Linked DNA regions of Schizosaccharomyces pombe. The protein of the gene in region 1 purifies or fractionates together with the protein of each later gene. This does not show direct contact. Each region holds a gene or a part of one and is shown in the gene's direction. Other genes may lie near its edges.

The links. The genes of interacting proteins can lie anywhere in the genome.
Region 2: the proteins of rmt3 (region 1) and tef103 purify together in Schizosaccharomyces pombe (affinity purification with mass spectrometry, with the first as the bait; one study listed by BioGRID). This does not show direct contact.

Annotation. Positions count from the first base shown.
Region 1 is NC_003423.3:1,373,341-1,381,372, reverse strand, and holds rmt3 (ribosomal protein arginine N-methyltransferase Rmt3), read left to right. Parts: upstream 1-3,081; 5' UTR 3,082-3,106; coding exon 3,107-3,149; intron 3,150-3,463; coding exon 3,464-3,559; intron 3,560-3,638; coding exon 3,639-5,032; 3' UTR 5,033-5,484; downstream 5,485-8,032. Other genes in the region: tac1 (cytochrome C oxidase subunit I translational activator), read left to right, coding at 230-293, 358-1,075; SPOM_SPBC8D2.11 (uncharacterized protein), read right to left, coding at 1,413-1,781; new15 (mitochondrial 54S ribosomal protein bL35m ), read right to left, coding at 2,603-2,863; U2 snRNP-associated protein Msl1, read left to right, coding at 5,652-5,879, 5,953-6,060; transcription factor TFIIIC complex subunit Sfc9, read left to right, coding at 6,438-6,545, 6,593-6,689, 6,748-6,835, 7,035-8,032. UniProt on the Schizosaccharomyces pombe protein: Methylates (mono and asymmetric dimethylation) the guanidino nitrogens of arginyl residues in ribosomal protein rps2.
Region 2 is NC_003423.3:624,002-630,962, reverse strand, and holds tef103 (translation elongation factor EF-1 alpha Ef1a-c), read left to right. Parts: upstream 1-3,440; 5' UTR 3,441-3,474; coding exon 3,475-4,857; 3' UTR 4,858-4,959; downstream 4,960-6,961. Other genes in the region: C1-5,6,7,8-tetrahydrofolate (THF) synthase, trifunctional enzyme Thf1, read right to left, coding at 1-2,425, 2,704-2,848, 2,899-2,933; methyltransferase Efm4, read left to right, coding at 5,766-5,806, 5,862-6,537; rpl1601 (60S ribosomal protein uL13), read left to right, coding at 6,924-6,961. UniProt on the Schizosaccharomyces pombe protein: This protein promotes the GTP-dependent binding of aminoacyl-tRNA to the A-site of ribosomes during protein biosynthesis.

The DNA of each region.
Region 1 (8,032 bases):
TTGCTGAATTACTGGGATCTTTCACATAAGACAGAAGAATTGAAAGTGATAAAATTTGAACTGTATTCATATCCACTTTTATAAAGTGTTCAGTTAATTGCTCGAACATACAATTAAGTGAATGTTCAGGTTTTCTTGCAAACTGGGTTACTGTCAACAACAGTGAATTTATAAGATCCATAGACACTATAATGTTACCAGTTTTATATACGCATATTAACCTTTATAGAGTGGTCAAAAATTAAGCACAAAAAATCGGCGAATGACCAGGCAAGAAGTTTACAAATTGGAAAGTAAGGGCTCGTCTTGTTTCACACTACTATCTAATAACAGTTACTAATATTACTGTGTATCCAGACTTTCACAGGGAATCATTCTAGCAGTTCGACAAGAAGGTGCCAATCCTGAATTGAATATGCGGCTGGCGACACTACTAGAGAGTGCCAAGAAAATATCCATGCCGAAATCTGGTATTGAAAATGCAATTAATCGAGGATTGGGTACGGCTGGAAGTGAAGGTTCGCAAGTTCATTTTATTGAGTATGAAGCAATGCATCCATCAGGAGTCGGTCTTATAGTTGAAGCGGTTACAGACAATCGAGCTCGAGCTGCTTCTTCAATCAAACATATTTTACGAAATCATGGGGCTTCTTTATCGACTGTCAAATTTTTGTTTAGCAAAAAGGGTAAGGTGGAAGTAAATCTTCCTCCAGAAAAACGAGATTCTATGAAATTTGAAGATGTTCTCGACGATGCTATTGAAGCTGGCGCAGAGGACATAGTCAATAGGCCCAAAGAGTACATAGACGAAGAAGATGAAGGTGAATTTTTGATTTTAACCGAGCCCTCTAGTTTAAACCAGGTGGCTCATCATTTTCGATCTAAAAACTATGAAATCAAAGATTCTCGTTTAATCCATATTCCTCTGGAAGAAACGGCTATCGATGTACCTGCAAAAGATTCTGTCAGAGAAGATATTCAAAAATTAATCGACGACTTGTATGAAAACGAGGATGTAATGTTCATTCATTTGAGTATACTGAATTCCCACTTTTTGCCTATTCTTGATGAATAAGGTTAAAAAAAAGAAAATTAAAAAATATGAAACTTTTTTCTCCTTGATGAATCATATAATACTATGAGATTTGATTACTTACAAACTATGAGCTAGTTGCTCTAACGTCTACAAAAACAATGTTGCGATGCAATTAAATTTTTAAATAAATCTATGTGGTTTTTGCTGATCGACTTAAAAAATATGCTCATAAATAAATAGTTCATTATCACCTATTTCATAGACTGGAAAGCATGTAATAATTAAACCTTGTGATAGAAAAGTACAAAAGACAAGTAAAAGTCAAATCTTCAAAATCCATCTTTTCCGGCCTCCATAAAGATTCCAGTCTCATGTTTTATAAGATGTACTCTTGATCCATATCGTCAACAAGAGGATCGTTGGAATCACGCGAAAAAACGGTTGATATACTGGGCGCTAATTGCCTTTGAACAACTTGAGCAGTGGTATTAGTCCTAGGCATGTGAGCACGCTTCCTTTGCCGAAAAGAACCAGCAACCTCGCGCACCAGTACTTCGAAGACTCGATTTACCACTGAGGACTCAGTATCCAAAACTTCGACAAAGTTCTCAAAGCTGAAATTTTCAAGCTGCTCAGGTAATCTTCCATTATAATGTTCAAGCGCTTGATCAATCAGCTTCTTTGTTTTTCTATTGAAATTTGCAACATGGTCGTTTGAACTGGACTCTATTAAAGGGCGTCCCATAACACCAAGATGCTACGCCGACAATTTATTCAAGACCCTCTGAAAATTTCAATACTAATTGAATATGTGATATACGCTGTTTCTAAGGGAGAATCAGGCAGGTCCCACCACCTTGCCTCCAGGCTAAGCAATGATAAATTTCAGTGCACAAATTTGCAATTCGTTACTAACAGGTAACATGTTACCCACACTTGAAGAAAGGGATTGATGCTTACGCTGAAGGATAAAAAGAGGATCCATGAAATTGTGATTTCTATTTGTAGGAATTTCCGTATAGTTCCTTTTAATTTAGGAACAGTTTTTTGATGATCTGTAGTTAAAAATCCGACGGAACTGCGACTTTGACATACTTTCAATGAATTTGAAAATCAATTTATGGAATTCAAAAGGAACGGTAAGCAAGATAAAAGTCAAAACGTAAAAAGGGGAGAAAGATATAAGCTTTGAATTTCTCTTCACCACTATGTGTATTTAAGAGAAAGTGGACAGGAGTCAATAACTCAACGATAAAACCAACTTAAATTTAATCAAATTCATGTGATGGAAAAAGGCTGATTCATAAAAATGAAATGTTTAGTATAACGAGTCATTAGAAGACAACATAGTTAGATCTTAGCATGGATATTTATATAAGGTAGGAAAGAATCCTTAAGGATAGACAATTTTGTCCTACCACAAACGAACCCACCAAGGATAAACTGAAAATTTAAGACCATAAAAAGTATGCTTTGAAAAATTTCAATAATCATAAAGCAGGAAAGTAAATTTTGCCATGTCATGTACATGAAATTAGGGTTAATAAAGAGATCCTTATCATTCTCTCATTTAAAAGGAAGAAGCCTCTTTAACACTCGTTTTTGTATTGTATTTGCTTCTTCCCATTGACGTTGTCTAGCTCTCGTTGAACTAGACGTGTCACGGTTCAAATGTTGAGCACCTGCGTGCTTTCGCTTAAAGCTTTTACCATCTTCTGTAAGAATCCATCTCTTTTTAGCGCCGGAATGGGTTTTCACTGTTCGAATGGTATCCTTTCTGCCAACCAAGACTGTTGCACGCACAACGCGCTGAAATACCACTAACATCACTCCAAAGGCCCAAAAATCTGAAGCAACAAAATTCTCTCAAGGAGTCAAAACCTATGCTTAAGTTGATCAAGTTCTTAAAAAAAAAACACACTTGATCTCAATGAAAGCGCTGGTAGTGCAATCTTAAGAACCTTTGTTCCAATGTTAGTGAAACCTATGGCATGTTACTTTGAAATTTGGACGAGAAAAGTAACAACAATAGAGGATTTTTCTTTAGCAATTGCCAACCGTTTTAAACAAATGGGCTCTCATAGTGATTCAGAGGTTGACTGGGATAATGAAGGTATGAATAATATGCTTGGCTGTTGTACTGGTCTGAAATCAATGTTTTTTACTTCTGGGGGAATTTGTTGCTTGTTTAGTTAATACTGGAATTCCATGCTATCTTTTTGCGATTATTGCTTGACATGAATGGATATTCATCTCTATCAGTCAATGATGAATGATCCGATTTCCTGGATTGAACATTATTATTCAGGATTTGCTCAATTCCCCTGGGACACGGTTTTCGTTTTTTCTGCTGCTACCCTTTCTTTGAAAGACGATGCATCCCAGCTTTCAAATGGAAACAATAAAGTTAATACTAACTCTTAATAGAGGAAGTTTGGGAGGATGAGGTACATGAATTTTGTTGCTTGTTTTGCGATTCTACCTTTACCTGTTTAAAAGACTTATGGAGTCATTGTAAAGAAGGTATGAGTTTTTCTATTTAATTTAAAAATTTTGTATATCTATTAATATTCATACATGGCTAACTTTGGTTCTATTGTAGCACACAACTTTGACTTTTATCAAGTTAAGCAGCAGAATAATTTGGATTTCTATGCTTGCATTAAATTGGTAAATTACATTCGGTCTCAAGTCAAGGAAGGAAAAACACCAGATTTGGACAAACTTTCCGACATTTTACGGTCCGACGAATACATGATTTCTGTACTCCCTGACGACAGTGTACTCTTCTCGCTTGGCGATGAACTCGATTCAGATTTTGAGGACGACAATACTCTCGAAATTGAAGTAGAGAATCCAGCAGATGTTTCTAAAGATGCAGAAATAAAGAAATTAAAGTTACAAAATCAACTTCTTATCTCTCAGCTTGAAGAAATTCGAAAAGATAAAATGAATGAATTGACTAGTCAGACTACAGATCAGCTATCAGTTACCCCAAAGAAAGCAGATAACGATTCTTATTATTTCGAGTCTTACGCTGGAAATGATATTCATTTCCTTATGCTAAACGATTCTGTCCGGACCGAGGGATACCGTGACTTCGTTTATCATAATAAGCATATTTTTGCTGGAAAAACGGTTTTGGATGTAGGATGCGGTACTGGCATTTTATCCATGTTTTGCGCAAAGGCTGGCGCCAAGAAGGTTTATGCTGTGGACAACTCCGATATCATTCAAATGGCTATCTCAAATGCTTTTGAAAATGGTCTTGCTGATCAAATTACTTTTATTCGTGGAAAAATCGAAGATATCAGTTTACCGGTTGGCAAGGTAGATATCATTATTTCGGAATGGATGGGCTATGCTCTAACGTTTGAGAGTATGATTGATTCCGTCCTTGTTGCCAGAGATCGCTTCCTTGCACCTTCTGGAATTATGGCACCGTCCGAGACACGATTGGTACTTACAGCTACCACAAACACTGAATTGTTAGAAGAACCTATTGATTTCTGGAGCGATGTGTATGGTTTCAAAATGAATGGCATGAAGGATGCTTCTTATAAAGGTGTTAGTGTACAAGTCGTTCCTCAAACTTATGTTAACGCCAAGCCTGTTGTTTTTGCAAGGTTTAATATGCATACGTGCAAAGTTCAAGATGTCAGTTTTACTTCCCCCTTCTCTCTAATTATAGACAACGAAGGACCGCTTTGTGCTTTCACTTTATGGTTTGATACGTATTTTACGACTAAGAGAACACAGCCTATTCCAGAAGCTATTGATGAAGCTTGTGGATTTACAACAGGCCCTCAAGGCACTCCTACTCATTGGAAACAATGCGTTTTGTTACTACGTAATCGTCCTTTCCTTCAAAAAGGCACTCGTGTTGAAGGAACTATTTCCTTTTCAAAAAATAAAAAAAACAATCGTGATTTGGACATTTCGGTTCACTGGAATGTAAATGGGAAAGCTGACTCTCAAAGCTACGTGTTGAATTAGGATCAAAGTCTTTACTTAAAAATATAGAATTACTGATTAATGTTACTATGCTGTAGGTTTTTGGATTAGGAATCTTGCTGGGGTTTTAAGGCATTTCCTGTAAAATTATTTCCCCAGAGTGGGAATACGGTGGATCGAAAAAATCATCTAGTCTTAAAATATTCTCTATTTTCTATACTACTAAAAAATAACATTTTTTCAATCTTTTAAATATGGAAATTTGAGTACATAAGGATTAAACTATCAACAACTGCACAATGCTTGGGAAAGATTTTTAACGTGAACTATTATTATCGTTGATTTTTTGTTACGATTTGATTATATTTAAGGGATCTCTAAAAATAATTGTGACTTGAATCATAATTCAGATGACTAGCGTTCAATGGTCGTAGAATTGCAAATAAACATATTTCGTTCCGGAAAATTAAATATGGATATTTATAGCCTTAAAAGATAAATTAAAAATGTAAAAGCTTTAGCATTTTAATGTAATTAAGACGAGCCTTTTCAACAATCCATTCAATAAGTTAACTCATAGCGATTGTTAGCGCGCAGTGTTTGCAGGTAAAAATATAAGGTAAAGAGTTCAGCATTTGCAAAACACCAAACTAGGGCGAAAATGAATCAAAATACACTTTATGTGAATAATTTGAATGATAAAATTAATAAAAATGATTTAAGAACAGCACTATATATGCTATTCTCCACTTATGGGACCGTGGTTGATATTGTCGCGTTGAAAACTCCCAAGATGAGAGGTCAAGCTCATGTTGTATTCTTTGATCCCTCTGCCGCTGCAATTGCGATGAAGGCCTTAAAAAATTTCATATTCTTCGGAAAGGAAATGGTATGCTGTGAAATGAGCTTTCTCATTAATCCCCATAAAAAAACAAAAACGATTGACTAACATCTTTAATAAGAAAATTCAATACGCTCATTCGAAAAGTAAGATTATTGAAAGAATCGTCGCCGAAAATGACAGCAGAGGTCCTTTAAAACGGCTACGTGATGAAGCTGACCTTGAGTAAACTGTACATTTTCTAAAATTCACAATTATCGTTTTATATAGGGTAACTTTTTTCGGGATCCTGTTGGAGTCAAGAGAGTTATAAAGAGTGGTTTTCCTTTTTCTCTCTTTTTGTTCTTCACTGTATATACCTGTTGGTTTTAGTTGTTTCAGGTGTCAGTGTTTGCAGACAGTAAAGCGGACCGATAACACCATCGCATTGTTGCTAAGTTTTATAAGATGAAGCAAAATTCTAGTCCAATATCATCTTGTTTACAGCTATTTTAGTGGATTTTTCATGCAAGTCTTTCTCAACTAGCATTGCGCAAGGCACTGAACTTTAACGCATTTGATGGAATTGTTCACCTGGCTTCAACATCGCTCGTCGTCTTTCTTACAATGGGAAAGGATGTAGCATTGGATTTTCTTCCATCAAGCTTGTATAGCTGTACTTGTTCTTGCGATGGAAAATTGGCTTTTTGCGATTCAGAAAAAGTCCAAATCTTGGTACATATCTCAAATTGACGTGTTCGAGACTAGCTAATTCCCTTCAGGTACCTTCAACTGAAGCCAATACGCCTAAGTTTATGAAGGCGCTAGCCTATTTAGATGATGTGGAAGATGAACTACCAAATTGCCAAATGCTTGCTCGTATGTTCCCAATGCCCTTTGATGCTTATGAGAGTATAAAAGCTAACGTGTTTTACAGCTAATGAGCTTCGTTTAGGAGATCTAACTCCAAGTGTCATAAGCCGCTATGTGGTCTGGTCGCCAACAGGTCTCGCAGACAATTACGAGTATGTTCTTAAAAAGAGAAGACTTGAGTTTGACTTTACTTAACATTCCACTCGGTTTGTGTTTTTGTGCGTAAATATTTCTATTTTTATGAAATTTGTTTCATTTTTTAAAGTTTGTTTATCGTTTCAATGCCTAAAATAAAGTCTTATTCGGTTTTGTTTCTCTATTCTACTTTTTATTTGAACGCTAATCAGCTAGTCCATTGTTAACTGTTTTAACTAATCGTCATCGTGTGTATTTCTTTTCTTCATCTAGTCGCGTTCTCCATCAAAAATGGACTTGCGTGGCACAAATGAGTACTCACTTACCTTCCGATCCTTTGGAACTTTGCCGAATTCATAGCGTTGCATGGTCGCCTTTGGTAAGTCTTCCTTCATCTTCACCTTGGGGCGTGTGTTTGTTTGCACTTGGTGCAGAGTCGGGTCATGTCCATCTCTCTATTATGTCACATTCATCTACCCCATTTTTCAAGTCTTTTGATTTGAATTGCTCATGGGTAGTTCAGTTATCATTCTCCAGCTGGAATGTGGTTGGGGATTCAGCTACCTGTTTGCTATCGTGTTCTTCTCGGAATGGAGAAATCCGAATTTTAAAAATAGCTATTAGCTCTCATTCTGACACTTTTGATACCGCTATGCAAGAGCTACCTTTCTCGTTGGACTATAGACCGTTTTCTCCTCTGCTAGCCTGGTCATCTCCATTAGCCAATGTTGAATACCTTGCGTTAGTTTATCCTGGCCATTTATTTGCATTTCGGTATGACAAGTCATTAGGGAAGTTTTGCTCTTTTTTGAACCATAATCTTTTGTCCCTTTGCTCTCCTTCTGGAGTGTTGTTTGGTCATAACGACATTGATACCATATATGTTTACATCTTGACACATTCTGGAACTTTAGAGACTTTTTCCTTGTTGGATAATTCAATATCGATGTTGGACTCACCAGAGAGACATGTGCTTGAAAAATTTTTGAACAATCACTTGCAAAATTATGGCTCTGTTTCAGATGATTCAATAAAGACCCTTAAAATCCATGGCTTTTGCCCTTCTCCTTACTTATCCTCTGCTGCTCTCCACTTTAGTATATCGTACCCGGCCTCATTTACTTACGTTGTAACAGCAGCTGAACGAAGTTATTTTAATTTCATTCCATCTCTTTTTTCAAAATCCGTTTTTTCACACATGATTACTTCTTCAC
Region 2 (6,961 bases), 750 kb from region 1:
TGGCAATGCAAATGGGTAAGTTGTTGTATCCTTGTTTAGTAAACGTTTCAAGACGTTCTTTAGCCAAGGGACTCAATTCAATGCCGTCAGCACCATACATTTCTTTCGCAATAATTTCAATCTTCTTTTCGATGGGCTCGTGTACATCGTAAAGGAGGCGGAATTCAGAATCCACATTCTCGCAAGCATTTATCAAAGCACGTGCAACACCTAGAGCTCCTTTACCACCTTCGGCCCAGTGGTTAGAGTCTACAGCATCAGTTGCACCGGCAGCAAGGGCTTCTTCACGAATGGCACTAATTTCATTAGGAGAATCGGAAGAAAACTTATTGATTGCAACCACAACGGGTAAACCGTACTTACGTGCATTACTAATGTGCTTAGCCAGATTAGCGCATCCTTTACGAACCAAATCAACGTCTTCGCGCTTATAAACCTCAGGGATAGGTTTACCAGGTCCAACAGGAGGACCGCCGCCGTGTAACTTCAATGCTTGAACAGTTGCAACGATAACAATGGCATCAGGCTTTAAACCTGAAGTACGACACTTGATATTAAAGAACTTTTCCATTCCGATATCGGAAGCGAATCCTGCCTCAGTTACAACATATCCAGCTTCTTTCTTAGCATCCTCATCCACTTCGGTACCCGCTAATTTGAGGGCAATGCGATCAGCCAGAATGGAAGAGGCACCAATACTGATATTTGCAAAAGGGCCAGCATGAACAAGAGCAGGAGTACCCTCCAACGTTTGCATAAGTGTTGGTTTAATTGCGTCTTTGAGCAAGACTGTCAAGGCACCACCAACTCCTAAATCATCAGCGGTAACAGGTTCACCAGATTTGTTGCTGGCAACAACCATGCGGCCTAATCGCTCACGCATATCTTTCAAGTCAGTAGCCAAGGCCAAGACAGACATACATTCGCTAGCGACAGAAAGATCAAAACCGGTTTGGCGAGTGAAACCCTTTTCCGTAGGATTCTCTCCAATAGTAATTTTACGAAGAAAGCGATCGTTAACATCCAAAGTACGATTCCATGAAATAGTTGAAGGTTCAATATCCAGCCTAGCAAATTTTCTTTGCTCTTCTTCGGTTAATTCTTCAGGATTAGTTTTATCAATGCCAAGCTTTTTCAAGCGACGGAACATGACGGGTGCAAACTCTCGTTTGTTTCCCTTAACCAAAGTCAAACGTTTATACAAAGCGGCATCGGATTGTGTGTTTTCATGGAACATACGGGTATCGATGGCAGCAGCAAGCAAGTTGGTAGCTGCTGTAATTGCATGAATGTCACCAGTTAAATGAAGATTGAACTCCTCCATAGGGATGAATTGAGAATAACCACCTCCGGCAGCACCACCTTTAATTCCAAATGTGGGGCCTTGAGAGGGTTGACGAACACATGCAATAGCAAGCTTGTCCAAGTTTGAAAGCGCTTGAACGAGTCCTGCAGTAAGTGTACTTTTACCCTCGCCGAATGGAGTAGGAGTGATACCAGTAACTACAACGTAGTGGCCGTCGCGACGATGAGCCAGACGTTGAAGAATTTCAAGGTTGACCTTGGCTTTATGGGATCCATAAAATTCTAATTCAGATTTTGCGATACCAATTTCGGAAGCCAAGTCACCAATATTTTTAGGGGTTTGTGAACGCGCAATCTCAATATCACTAGGAACAGGGGTCTGAAGCTTTAAAGGAAGAAGAGTTGGTTTACGCTTGCGAGACATTTTGCGAAAGCGAACAGCTGATTCAACCACGTTTTGCAGCAACATGGCTACGGTCATAGGACCAACAGAACCAGGGACAGGTGTGATTGCGCTGGCGACCTCCTTGGCATTTTCAAAGTCAATATCGCCGGTAAGACGGTAACCAGACTTCTTGGTGGCATCTGGAATAGAGTTGATACCAACATCAATAGCGACAACGCCCTTTTTCAACCAGTCAGCCTTGACGAAATGAGGAATACCAATGGCAGCAACGACAATATCAGCTGTCCTAACAATATCAGCAATAGATTCCGTCTTTGAATGACATAAAGTAACTGTGGCATTTGCCTTTTCCAAAAGTATGGACATTGGACGACCAACAATGTTGCTACGGCCTATGACAACAGCATGCTTTCCTTGGACATTAATCCCGTAATGTTTTAAAATGCACATAATACCTTTTGGGGTGCATGCGGTAAACAAGGGTTGACCTTCGCGCTTGGTCAATTTTCCCAAATTAGTTTCACAAAAACCATCAACGTCTTTCTCGGGAGCGACGGCTTCTGTAATAATCTGCTCATTGATGTGAGCAGGCAGAGGTAACTGTACAATAATACCGTGGACAGTAGGGTCCTCGTTGAAGCCTTTGATGGCAAGCAGCAAGTCGTATTCTGTAATATCTTCAGGAAAATTCACATGCTCACAGGAGATTCCAGCCTAAACAGTTAGAAAATAATGCATGGATTTAATTGAAGGAGATGTAAAAGAAAGAAAATGAATTTAATGAATAAGAGAATTGCAAATATTTAAATAGTCCACCCAAGCATCATCTACCTTCTAACATTATCGAAAAACCAAAAAATCATCCATCGCGCCAACTAACGCCAGATTGTACATGAGTGTTAGGGTGAACTTTTAAAACCAGTGCGCTTTTAATAACTCGTCCCTACGCATTTCAATCATTTTAGGAGACCCTTCTCCGCCTTCACTCATACCTCATTAGCTGCACGAGTTTTCATGCGCACATATACATTTGAGTCCTCTCTACCTCCGACTTGAATGATTTTTAAAGAAACGTTGAAATAAGGGTCAACAGATTTAATCGAGGAGATCTGCTCCCGAAGTTCTTCTCGAACTTTGCTAATTCAACTGTTAGACAAAACTATATATACACGATAAAAAAGACATACCGGGCCAAAGAAGTACCCTCCAAAAGCAAAGCCATCAAAACTATTACCGTTGTGGTGACGGACAAAGAACAAACAAAAGCAGCTAAGGTGGGTATATCAGCGAAAATCTCAGTCCACAATCTCAATCCGATCTGATAACGGCCATCAAAAATGGTTCAATGATACAACTAAATATTTTTCATCATTTAATAAACCAGATATATATTTTTAAATTAACGAAAAACGATCCATTTCATATATACAGCGTTGATCGTTTCCGCCCAATAAATCAAAATCGCCAAGAACGACGTTCGCTAAGCTAATGTTTATTGCGGTGGCAAATTCGGCTAAGTGTACTCTAAAGACAAAAGGTTAAGAAGCAAAGAAAAATTTTAAATGACATCATGACTTTCCTGCGCAAACAAAATTCGTTCGCTGATAGGCTCACGACAATATTTTAAGCCGGAAAAAAAGAAAAAAACTTTCGAGACGTAACGAACGTTATGTGACTGCTTTTTTTGCGCAAGTATATATGTAGGCGCTGGCGCCCTTCGCTTCTACCTAGAGTCTGTTTCATCGAACTCACATTAAACAAAAATGGGAAAGGAAAAGGGACATATTAACGTCGTTGTTATCGGTCACGTCGATTCTGGTAAGTCTACCACCACTGGTCACTTGATTTACAAGTGCGGTGGTATTGACAAGCGTACCATTGAAAAATTCGAGAAGGAAGCCACCGAGTTGGGTAAGGGTTCCTTCAAGTACGCCTGGGTTTTGGACAAGCTCAAGGCCGAGCGTGAACGTGGTATCACCATCGACATTGCCCTTTGGAAGTTCGAGACTCCCAAGTACAATGTTACTGTCATTGATGCCCCCGGTCACCGTGATTTCATCAAGAACATGATTACCGGTACTTCTCAAGCTGACTGTGCTATCCTTATTATTGGTGGTGGTACTGGTGAGTTCGAGGCTGGTATCTCCAAGGATGGTCAAACCCGTGAGCACGCTTTGCTTGCTTACACCTTGGGTGTCAAGCAACTTATTGTTGCCGTCAACAAGATGGACACCACTGGCTGGTCCCAAGCTCGTTTCGAGGAAATCGTTAAGGAGACCTCTAACTTCATCAAGAAGGTCGGTTTCAACCCCAAGACCGTTCCTTTCGTCCCTGTCTCCGGTTTCCAAGGTGATAACATGATTGAGCCCACCACCAACATGCCCTGGTACCAAGGCTGGCAAAAGGAGACCAAGGCTGGTGTCGTCAAGGGTAAGACTCTTTTGGAGGCTATTGACTCCATTGAGCCCCCTGCACGTCCCACTGACAAGCCTCTTCGTCTTCCCCTTCAAGATGTTTACAAGATCGGTGGTATTGGTACAGTTCCCGTCGGTCGTGTCGAGACTGGTGTTATCAAGCCCGGTATGATTGTCACCTTCGCTCCCGCTGGTGTCACTACCGAAGTCAAGTCTGTTGAGATGCACCACGAGTCTCTCGACGCTGGTCTTCCCGGTGACAACGTTGGTTTCAACGTTAAGAACGTTTCCGTCAAGGATATTCGCCGTGGTAATGTCTGTGGTGACTCCAAGAATGATCCTCCCATGGGTTGTGCTAGCTTCACCGCTCAAGTCATCATTCTTAACCACCCCGGTCAAATCTCTGCTGGTTACTCTCCTGTTTTGGATTGCCACACTGCTCACATTGCTTGCAAGTTCGCTGAGCTCATTGAGAAGATTGACCGTCGTTCCGGTAAGAAGATTGAGGAGTCCCCCAAGTTCGTCAAGTCTGGTGATGCTTGCATTGCTAAGATGGTTCCTTCCAAGCCTATGTGTGTTGAAGCTTTCACTGACTACGCTCCTCTTGGTCGTTTCGCTGTCCGTGACATGCGTCAAACCGTCGCTGTCGGTGTCATCAAAGCTGTCGAGAAGGTTGCTCCTGGTGCCGCTAAGGTTACCAAGGCCGCTGTTAAGGCTGGTGCTAAGAAATAAGCTTAGGCAATGTTTGCTTACGGAAAAAATAATTGTTTAGGTTTTAATTTTTAATACATGTGATACAGGGTATTGAATACATTGATAATATAATTTTTCTAGAGTGTATGTTAGATTGTAAGTTGTGTAGTAAGTATGGTATATAATGCGACGAGGTGTTGTTTAGTTAAAGTATAGCAGTTTCTCTTTGACAATTGAACGTTATACAACTAGTAATGCCGCTATGTTTAGAAACTCGAATGAGTGATGGCAGGCGTTCTTGAGTAATGCAAGAAGCTCAAGCAACCTGCTACAATGTTAAGAAGATTCTAACTTTCATTTGCAAAAACTAAAAAAAAAAGTAACATCTTTACTGAAAAGTTTTCTACATCTCCAACCAAAACTTTTGATTTTATAGCGAACGGCGTAGCAACTCAAGCCAAGTTAAACTAGACCGAGTGTTTTAAAATCGATTAAGTTTAATGGCATTGCTCATTATTTTATTGAAAATAGGATTTTGACGTTGGATAAGTACACATTGTGGCCTGGATATACAAATCTGTTGTCAACAAGAATTTATTGATGGGTTTATAGGTGTTTATGATATGCAAGAAATATAACAATTAAATTATTTCTGGAGTATTTTTTTAATATTTGTTCACTAATCACTTTTGGTAAAAATTTTTGTTTAATACGATTACAAATGGATTATTTTTTCCTTACAATAATAATACATATTATTCTCCCACCCTATGTGCCGGCCCTTAACCTCGAGCTAGGAAGGGAAGATAGAACTTTACATTGATTGTTATCGAATAGAAATTACAACATTTTCCAAAGACTTTTCTGAAAATTTGTAAATATAGGGAACAGAAATAGAAAAGACTGTGTAGGGAAAGTCTTGAAAGATAAAATAAAAAAAAAGGACAATGAGTGGATTACCGGAATCAAAGCTGGGAACAAAACAATAGTATGTTTTTAAACATTATTGTTTTCTTATTGGGCATATTACTAAAGGTTTTTAGCTGGGATAATGTCTATGAACGTGAAGTATCCAACTTTACAGAATTTAATGACGAAGGGGAAGTTTGGTTTGGTGAAGAGGCTGAAGAACGAATTGTTCAATGGTTAGAAGATCACATTTCCACCTCATTTAGAGAAGTATCGGAAGCGGCGCCTTTTCGTGTCCTGGACCTGGGTACTGGTAATGGGCATTTATTATTTCGTTTGCTTGAAGAAGAAGATACACTGCTTCCAAGCCCTTGCCAATTGGTAGGTGTAGATTATAGCGAAGCTGCAATTGTTTTGGCTAAAAACATTGCTAGACATCGTCAGTTTTCAGATAAAGTCAAATTCCAGCAACTCGACATCATTAAAGATTCTAAATTTTGCTCAAAAGATTGGGATTTAATACTTGACAAAGGTACGTTTGATGCCATCTCTTTAAGTGGGGAGCTTTTGGATGGTCGTCCGTTGAACAGTGTTTATGTTGATAGGGTTCGCGGTATGCTATCCCCCAATGGCATTTTTCTCATTACCAGTTGCAATTGGACAATTCAAGAGTTAGAGGAGCGGTTTACGAAGAATGGTTTTATTGTCCACTCTACAGTTCCTGTTCCTGTATTTGAGTTTCAAGGTAGTACCGGTAGTTCTACCTCCGTGATTGCCTTTCAAATTGATCCCTCTTTTAATCGAAAATAATATTTTTAATGTTCACTGAAATAAGGCACTTGGCGTCTCATGCTTAAACTAAAATTCCTATCAGGCCTATGGTAAATATTGTAGATGAGAGTCACATTTACCTTCGTTTTATTTAGTTCATTTATTTACTCTCATGTTAGCGAGTGTTACCATTTTCTCGAAACTACCTTTTAGGATATTGGGCGAGTGGGAACGCATTGTTGTGCAGCTTATTCAACGTGTTTGTTAAACAGTTTAACGATAATAGCTACACCTCTTAATTCTACCATGCTATTGACTTGAAAAAAAAACATTTTCTGTTTAGGTTAGGGTTAATGTTGGAACAACCGTCACACATACACCGAACTTGCTGCTTTTCTAAATGTGTATTATCAGAGACCACCAATATGTCTGAATTTCAAAAAGTTGTTGTTATTGACGCCAA